Bombyx mori: one gene and its partner. The protein of the gene in region 2 interacts with the protein of the main gene of each other region in a pairwise test. Links are inferred from orthologs where the notes say so. Each region holds a gene or a part of one and is shown on either strand. Other genes may lie near its edges.

Region 1 (5,084 bases), on a different chromosome or scaffold from region 2:
GCAAACGCAGTACAGGACGCCCTTAGGCACGGTGGAGTGATAATCTGTGCAGGGTGGAAAGAGCTGGATGAGAGAAACCAAGGATCATGCTCAGTGGCGAGCAATTGGAGAAGTCTATGTCCAGCACTGGATTGATATAGGCCGATGATGATGACGAAGTAAGACGCTCGACATTCCTATGATGTACCGGTGATTACTGCTACTCATAAACGATAAAAAGCCAAGTCAAGGCAAGATATTAATAAAATTAAAAGATCTTATTGTTATAAGCGCGGTGTCGAAAGTTCATGCGATTAAGAAATTCAATAGAACAACATCACAGAAGCGATCGACAAAAAACTGTTATAGTAACTCTTTGTTTACCAGTTAAAGAAAGTGACAATGACGCATCTCGACGCCTGTACAAGAACAATAAAGTATACAAAGTACACGTGAAAAAATTGAAAGAGGTTAATGGTTTCAAAAAGCACAATCTTCATATATCGCGTGAAGCTGAAAATAAACCCCTAATATACATAGATAATCCGGTCGAAACGAATATACCACACACCTTTATGGGTATTGACGAATTTAAGAAATTACTCACAGACAGAGCTTTGCGACATTCACCTATGCAAAGTACCAGTAAGCCCAATGTTTATAGATTGAAAAGTCTGGAAACTAAAATAACGGCTATTAATGATACCAAACACATTAAACTAATCAAGAGAAGTGAAGTAAAATCAGAAGTAACAAAAAAGGGAACACAAGCAGATAATACTAAAGAAATATTACGTAAGAATACGATAGTTATAAAAAATGTTGACGCAGCAACCGCTATCAGTATGAATGTGGTACGTCAAGAAGCCGAAATCATTACGCAAGCTCCAACAAAACCGTCAACTATCACCTCGGAGTCAACTGGGAAAACAAAAATTTATGAAGCTGTTGAGACTATAACAAATGATGAAGAAATTTCGAAAGCGCGATCAGCTGCTTCTACTACTGCTTCTACTGATATCAAAGGCTTCGATTTCACAACCGTTTCCAAAATTGCGGAGCATTCTGTAAATTCGACACCAGAAAAAGAAAATATTAGCACAAATAACATCAATTTAACAACGGTGTTTAATAATACAGTTATGCTTGAAGTTACTACAGCGAAACATTTTGATGTTAAATACAATATTACGACTTTGGAATCAACTATAGGAAAATTAAAGTCTGTGAAACGGACGACTACAAATAAACAATATAAAAGTTCCACTAGAAAAAAAACATCAAAGAGAAGTACATTATCGGTAAGTATTTGGTTTAAGGGACGATAAATTTACGCCTATAAAATATTTTAATTAAAAAAAAATTTATATATAGTAAGTATACAATACCGTTTTGATTATGTATATATGTATTCAAGTGTGTGTATCTAGCTTTGTTATTTTTTTTATTTTTACCCATGTAGCCTATAGAATAGCCCCTTACACGCTGATAGCTTAAGAGGTTATTCCAGCTACGTTTGAACATCTAGGTGAGCTCACGGGCTAAAACTGAGAGAGTTTGTTCACACTAGCCTTAACAAGATCAGTGATTCTCGGAATCTACCACCGAATCAGAATTTCTTGTTATTCGAAGCGAGATTTTTATAGCACTGTTTGGCACTTTGCTGTAAAATACTAAGCTCAGATAGGCCGTCTTCGTCATTATGAGCGTTGAAATCACGCCCTTGAATTGGACGGATTTTGAAGGTTTTTCGAAATAACCTAGTTACGGTTGTATTTTTAATGGATAATTTATAGTTTTGTCGAGAAAAAATTCGTAAATGAAGGTAATACCCAAAAGCGTTTTCGCGTAAATCGTTTCCTTACTTGCAGTCGAATAAGTGAGCAGTTTTAACTTAGTTATTCGGACAGACAGACAACCTTAGAGCCCATCTCATAAGCTGTTACCCGAACTGAGAACTTAGACAGCGTGGTTGATGTTGATAAATTCAATGACTATCAATCATTTATAACTACTCTTTATGTCACGACTTTTAGAAAACTAAAAACAAAATTAAAAGACATTAAGCATCCTAAGTACTAATATTTATTCGGCTTAGTTTTCTAACTACTAATTGTATCCGAATTTCTTTTAAATATTATTATTATTGATATAGCAATAAAACTAGTTTAATTCCCACTCACAACCCTGTTCATCTTGACCCTCCCGTGAATAATGGAATATAAAGTAAATCAATATAAATGTAATAAAATAAATCACACAAAACGAATTACGGAATCTACGGAGATTCTCGTATAGTACACTTTTTGGTTTAAATTAATTTGGTATTTTATTTGAAGCCCTAACAGTTAAATGTTCTTGTTTTGTAATTAAAAATTGTAATCTTCAACAATGGATCTACTAACAAAATGCCATAATACTATTTATGATTTTATTTCTTTCAGAGACCACTAGTTTTCATGGGGGGTTATAATTGAATATACAATTGGTTAATAATAAAGCTTGAAAATCTACAATTTTGGTAAATAGTGTTTTATTAAATTTCATATATGTTACTCATACTAAAATAAAATAGATTACTATTAAAGTTGATATGCGGTTTATCGGGTCTGAAGATTTCCGATGTGATTATTTCTTAATTTTGATAATGTAAAATTCTTTATGTCAATATATGTTGCTTAATTTTATAAGAAATCTCAGTACCAACTTTGTAAGCTTCAAGATATTTGATATTTTAAATATATTTGAACACATACCTTAACTTCTACCTAGACAAAAAATCCGAGTTATTGCAACAGCAATAACTAAAGTCTTCTTCAACTGGTCGGCATGAACATCACTTTACTAAACTAATAACGAATTAAGCAAATTATTAAGGCTTTACGATAAATAGTTCTTGTGCCCGTGAAAACTCGTAAAACGATTTTCCCGCCGAACAAAACGTCAAACTGTCAAACGCGCGAACATCGTGCCTCCAGTCCGGTATAAAGGCGCCACTTCACTGATTACAAAATAGAATCTCACGTGGACCTCCGCTGCTACGGTATACCTTATAACTATGAAGGGCCATCGAGACGACTCTATTCACGCTCACCCTGGCGAGAAAGAGATGCCATAAAGTGTCGACACCCATTGTAAGCCGCTTACTGAATTTAGGACTGCTCATTTGTGCGACAGAGACGCCTAGCTTTTTATTGTATAGTCTTAATTCACGCTCCGCCCATTCCTCATTTAACCCCACGGCGGTGGGGGAAACGGCCAGTTTTAAATTATCTATTATAATAAAATTATTTCGCGAAATAAGGGGTTGGTTATGTTAATGATGTGTTTAATTTATGTCTATGTCTTTATCTTAGAAGTGGCTGACGACAGCGTCGAGACGCGTTATTTGCGTATGAAAATTATTTTCCCTGTCACTTTAATAATGTTGATATGTTTGATGAATTATTTTGACTTGGTACTTATTATAATAATTTTAATTAAACATTCGACATAATTTTGTATTTAAGCTTGTATTAAAAATAGAGATCTAAGCCTTGTTGTTGCAATTATAGTTTTGTTTTAGTTTTATTATTATTATTATTTAGCAAGCCGATATTATAAATTAGGTAATATACACCTTACTTTTCTGTATTTTTTTCTTCGGGGCAACCCTGGTAGCGTCGGTAAGGGTGACGTCGATGAAACTCATTACAGATTTAGAGTTTTTTATAATTAAGATCGATTTTTTTAGATGGGCAAATCAACTAATCCATCCAATCTTAAGTGGTTAAGTGGTGTTGATAGGTAGTAGTTGATAGTAAGCTGAACAATATCCCGCCACTCGTCCACTTTGTAGTCGTCGTGGCCTAAAGGACAATACGTCCGGTGCATTCGTATCTAGCGATGCACCGGTGTTCGAATCCCGCAGACGGGTACCAATTTTTCTAATGAAATACGTACTTCACAAATGTTCACGATTGACTTCCAGGGTGAAGGAATAACATCGTGAAATAAAAATCAAACCAGCATAATTAAAATTTGTGTAATTACTGATTGTAAGACCTCTAGTGAATCCGCACGGATAGATACCACCGCCCTGCCTATTTCTGCCGTGAAGCAGTAATGCGTTTCGGTTTGAAGGGTAGGGCAGCCGTTGTAACTATACTGAGACCTTAGAACTTACATCTCAATGTGGTTGGCGCATTTACGTTGTAAAAGTCTTTGGGCTCCAGTAACTACTTAACACCAGGTGGGCTGTGAGCTCGTCGTCAACCTATCAAAAAAGGCAATAAAAAATCTCCATTATAGCTGTGCGTCTAAATCTTACGCGTAGAGGGCAATGCAAGAGAGGTTGCAGCCTTGACCTGGCCAGTCCTCCTTACGCGAGATCTATCGTGCGGCTTAACACTCTTAACCCTGCCCCGCACCATCACGAGCTCGATAGAAAGATCCGTGACACATATCCAGAAAAAGAGGCCAGATAAGAGCCTGCAACGTGCAGGAGAGGCGTTTCATTATTTTCATTCCTCAAGAATAGACTCGTTGTTGCGAAATCAGTCCACGATATCCGGAGTTTTTCTCCAGAATCACATTTCAAGTGGGTCTATTCTGCGTTTTCTACTATCTCCCAGTGTCTAGGTGTCTTTGGAACAAAAAAGAACATATATTTCCAAATTTAAAGAGTATAAATTGCTCGTAAATATCTACTGAAAAAAAAAAGAAAATAGATCAACGAACAATACTAAAAATATCAATTAACTGTTTTGTGTTAAAAAAATCAAAATCTTATAATTTTTCTTAACCAAAAAGAGAAAAGAAACAGCCTGTAGACAGAGGAGATAATAATACTTCATTGTTTAAAAATATAATGTTATGTAGCTGTTTATATAAAGCAAATAAAAATAATAGGTTGGGGAAAAAGTCTTTTCGCATTATAGTATGTATGAACTTGTAATAAAATCTCTTTGGCTATTTGTATCTGGCTGGTTTTGATATCATTAAAAGTTTCAATTTTAAAGAAGATAATTCCTAATTCAAACTAGGAAAATATGTGATTTTTATTATTTTTGCCTCTGGGTCTGCGGAGGGACTTCGGTTCCCTCTGTATTCTGTACCGTATGTTC
Region 2 (4,596 bases):
TTTCTCCTTTGGTGCACAATGTACTAATCATACTAAATCGCTCGGCCCATAGTGTGGCCAGCGCTTAAAGAGCAAGATGAATTTCCTTTCCTCGTTGGCCTGTTCCCTTCTACTACTCTACTCTCACAATCCTACTTGTTACCCATACTATTACTTTAATACGAAAGTGACGTTATTTGTTTATTTTTATACTTTCATGACGTAACAACTTAAGTGAACATCATGAAATTTTGCATACGCGTTGTCAGGGGTGGGTACACGAAAGGACAAAAGTGCTATTCTCGAGTAAGGCCGCGGGTAAAATCTAGTCCAATATCAATCTTGCAACAAGGCTGCACGCGGTTAGTTCAGTAGCACGACAAAAGTAAAGAGTGAGAAGAATAGATGTACAGTTTCCGGAAGTATTATTGTCTTTGGAAGTAGGTACAAAAATTAATGCATGCTATTTTCAAGTCACGTAATTATTTATATTGAGGGAAAAATATAAAAAGGATTATAACTTCACTATTTCACCAAATCTAAACTAAACTATCCCAAATCAGGAAAACTATAAAATGAACAGATCAAGTAAAATACTATTCGTCAACTATGAAATTTGTAGAAAAATGCACAATGTTTGCCAGTTTCGCAGCGTCGACGCAGTCCACTAACATTAGCATTGTCGGAACTCAAGTTGTTCTTGCTAAGCAGCTGACAAAATCACAAAAAAAATGTCACGTAGAGGGCTAGACTCAGAGGATGCGGGGCGCAGTCGAGTGGGTTGGTACCGTGCGTTTATCGCGCAGTAGTCGATTCGTTAGCCAGTTGCTCGAGCTGGCACACGGGGACTAGACCACCCTCCCTACACTTAGTCAGTTTGATAGCATTAGGGTTATCAGTGCAGACACTTGGTGGTGAGTCATACTGCTACTTGTTTTTTATTTTCTTATTATTTTTCTTTGCGAGTAGGCCGAGTAGATTCACTTCAACTGCTGTGAGAACACGTGGGAAGTCTAAGTCGCCCAGGTTGTCACAAATAGCGTCACCAGTATCCATAACAATTACAACGTGACAACGACAGAGCGGATGAGAGTGATCCTTTACTCTCGGTTCCTCAATGTTCGCGTATAACAACGCAGCTCCGTGTTGCAATATACCTACGCTTCCTCATTTTGTATCTAACTTAAAATTTTGAATTATAATCTACAGTTAAGTGAATTATTATTGTGCCAGCAGTTTGAGACAATGTCAAGAAGCGGACCTAACTTAAATATCAGTAATGTTTATATGTATTTATTAGTGTCAAATGATATATTCAAAATTTCCAGATATTGTCATTTTAAGTAAGGTTATTTTTGTTTTATCTAATCTGTTTTTTATTCTGTTGGCGTCAGACAGACAGTGGACTTTTCTTTTGGCATACAAAGATACTGTCTCCTGCGTAGCATTGAGAGCCTAGTCTTTTTTTTAAGGATGGAGGGATTACAGCCGGGTCGAAGTTGTTTCAGTTTCACAGACAGGATGGAGTCATGTACGACCTTAATGATGTATAGAACCCTTTTAGACTCATTACTCACATCACAATCAAACATCTCAATATTGATTTAGTACATATGTACGAATATACAGGGAGCATACGTGACTGTTCGATGAAAAAATTAAAAAACTAAGCGTCAAAATACTGCGCCGATGCCAGCTAGCAGGCTGTTAATGTTGGCGATGCTACAAATTTCATTGTTGACGACCCGTGGACGGCTCGGCGGCGCTCGTTCCTTCCTACTGCACGCCGGACGGAGCATGCAGACTAGGTCGCGGCGCGGTGCCGACACAGACTCGAGTGTGAGGAGCTACATCTTACACTAAGCAGGGATAGGGCTAGAGCAGCAGGTGCCGTGGAATACTTACAGAGCGCGGGCTCCGAGCGCTAGGCCGCTGCACCGAGACACGGCAAACAGAAAACAGTATCTTAGAGCAGTGTGTCGCCGGCGCGCGGCCTCAGAGCCTACTCGTCTTATATTCTATCTTACTTCCGAAGATTGAGTTATGGTACAATACGTACAGACATTGAGGACATTTGACTTTAGTTTTTTGTACATAAAAATATTATAACAAAAAGCATAATTGACGGTGTGTACACTTTTAACAAACATGAGTACTCTTCTTACAAATTTGAAGAACATTTCCATGAAGGTCTCTGATCCCTATCTCGAGCTGCGTGCGGTTTGTTGTATTTTTGTTCTTTTTGTCAATTTCATTTTAGAAATTATATAATTTTTAAAATAAATATAAAATTTAAAAAACGTATGTAAGTTAAACCGCATCTAATATTATTTATACATTGCCGTCAAGAAGATTCTGAATGAACTGACCATTATGCACAATACCTGCGTCTTTTAGTGTGAGGACCATTATTCTGTGAACTAGACTGGCAGTCGTACAAAGTGCCAAAATATTCAATCTTCAAAAATAAAAAAAAGACTTGAGCTATGTGCGTAAGTACCGCACTACAAAGTCGCCCTCGGTCGCGTGGGTCACGTGGGTCACGTGGGTCGCGTGGGTCGCGTCGGTATACTTGTAGTGCGTCATTTAGACGAATAACGTTATAGCGTCAAGTAAGCCGGGTATGAGTTTTAACATGGAACCTAAAAACAAACAAAGCGATGGCCGCTTCATTCCGTAATGAATATCCTCCGTGTACAGCGGAGGCGTACTATTGCACTATATCGGTTGTTGGAGTGCGTGACGGCGCGTGACGCTGCGTGAGACACTGACCGTTGAGGTCGGCGAGCGCGTCGGCGGGCGCGTCGTCGGGCGCGTGCTCGTCGGCGGCGTACTGCGACTCGCGGAAGGAGCTGCACGAGGACAGCAGGCTGCAACACGCGGTCGATGAGTATGTCGATGAGTGGCGGGGGTCGTGTTCAGTTACTTGTGGTCGGGTGCGCTACCTAGTGCGTTTGGGAGGGGTGGGGGCTTGCTTGCCGCGGCGGTTGGTCGGGCGCCGCATCTGCACCGCTCGAGGGTCGGCGCTCGTCTTCTTCAGCGACAGCAGCGGGGTGCCGGCGGCCTGCGCGCCGCTGCCTTCTTGGAGTTGTTTCTCTACTTCTGAAACACACCGTTGACATCTATAGCAGCCGCTCGCTGTTAGTACGAGTACATGTTGCGTAACGAGGCGCTCACCGTCTGTGATCGAGTTGTCCTGGAACATGTGCTCGAGCGCGTGGTGTATCTCGCGGAAGGAGGGCCGCTCGGAGGGGCTCCACTGCCAGCAGCCGCGCATGAGCTCGTAGACGGGCGCCGGGCAGCCCGGGGGACACTCCATGCGGTACCCCTGCGCCACCACATGCTTCCTTCGTTAACTGTTCTAACGCGCAGCTCCAAGAGTAAGCAATTACGTAAATGACAAAAAAAAAACCATCAAATGCGCAACAATGGTTTCTGTTTATCGATATCGGCTTATGTAACGATACGTGAAGTTGCGCGCTCGGCCGCCGCCCCGCCTCCAGCACTCGACGTGCAACTTCTCTCATTTCCATAAATTAATATTTTGTTTAATTTCTTGTAATTTGTACATATCTCTTAAATGTCTCCAATATTAAACTTGCAAAAAGCGAAACGATTTCACTCCCGCATTGATTAAAAGAAAATATAATGACAAATTGAAACTGTAATATTTTTCAATCAGTCACCATAAAATGTATAATAAATATTTGTGTAAACAAATAAATAAACCGATGTGTTGCGAGTCGACGAGTACAGGGCGTTCACTTAACAATTACCTACAAGTCTGAAAATGTCGCTTAAGAAATTCATTTATAACGTTACAATCGAATGAACTGTTTTATTCAACAAGCACCTACTGTATTATTGTGTGAATTTTGTACCATACAAAGAACATTGGGTTTTTTTTTTAATTACACCGGAACCTGTCTGTGGGATCGGCCACGTCTACACAGCGACGCACGAGGTCTTCCCGAACGAGGGAGCTTACCAGACTCGTTGCATCTACGCGTTCTAACCCCTCAGTACAAACTTTATGGAGAAGTATGTAATGGAAACTAGGTCGCTGTCCTTTGTATAATTTTATAATATAATATAAGGAGGTCACATGCGCGATCAACTAATATCGGATTTGTCCGTTTGTCGTAAAGTATGAGAAATATCTCGAGTAAAAGTGAGCAGGCTGTATGCGACAGGCGCGTGTGTTTGTCGCATGTTGCCGGCGGGCGCGCGGTATAAAGAGAGCGCGCGCTTCTCCGCAGCCAGTGCCCGCCGCGCCGCGCCGCCATGAGCCCGCTCCGCCCCGCACTGCTCGCTGCACTGCTGCTCTTCTGTGTGGCCGCGCTCGGTAAGCCTATAGCTTCCCCGCTAGCCTAGCCTGGCTAGCTATCGTGTCTTCGCTGATTCTGGCACTTATCATTGCAGTGGCGGCCAAACACAAGAAGGTCAAGCCGAAGAAGTTCGTGTCGCCCTCGACGAAAGGTATCAAGTGCTACAACTGCCTCTCGTTCGACCACCCCGGCTGCTGGGACCCCGACCACCCCGACTACGCCAACATTACGGTGAGCGCGCGTTGTATGTTTGTCGTACTAGTCCCACTGTCACGCCCGACGACCTAAT

Evidence for each region.
Region 1: the proteins of tyrosine-protein kinase Abl (region 2) and paired box protein Pax-6 interact in binary tests that used the Caenorhabditis elegans proteins (3 or more experiments, as listed by UniProt). The link is inferred for Bombyx mori from reciprocal best matches to the Caenorhabditis elegans genes abl-1 and vab-3.

The regions. Positions count from the first base shown.
Region 1 is NC_085120.1:4,528,752-4,533,835, reverse strand, and holds the start of paired box protein Pax-6, read right to left. Parts: upstream 3,127-5,084; 5' UTR 2,736-3,126; intron 1-2,735.
Region 2 is NC_085107.1:85,691-90,286, forward strand, and holds part of tyrosine-protein kinase Abl, read right to left. Parts: intron 4,539-4,596; coding exon of another isoform or gene 4,402-4,538; intron 4,325-4,401; coding exon of another isoform or gene 4,264-4,324; exon of another isoform or gene 4,195-4,263; intron 3,308-4,194; coding exon 3,157-3,307; intron 3,082-3,156; coding exon 2,925-3,081; intron 2,850-2,924; coding exon 2,752-2,849; intron 1-2,751. Other genes in the region: uncharacterized protein LOC105842509, read left to right, coding at 4,264-4,324, 4,402-4,538. UniProt on the Caenorhabditis elegans protein: Functions downstream of migratory protein mig-13 and is involved in Q neuroblast migration during larval development.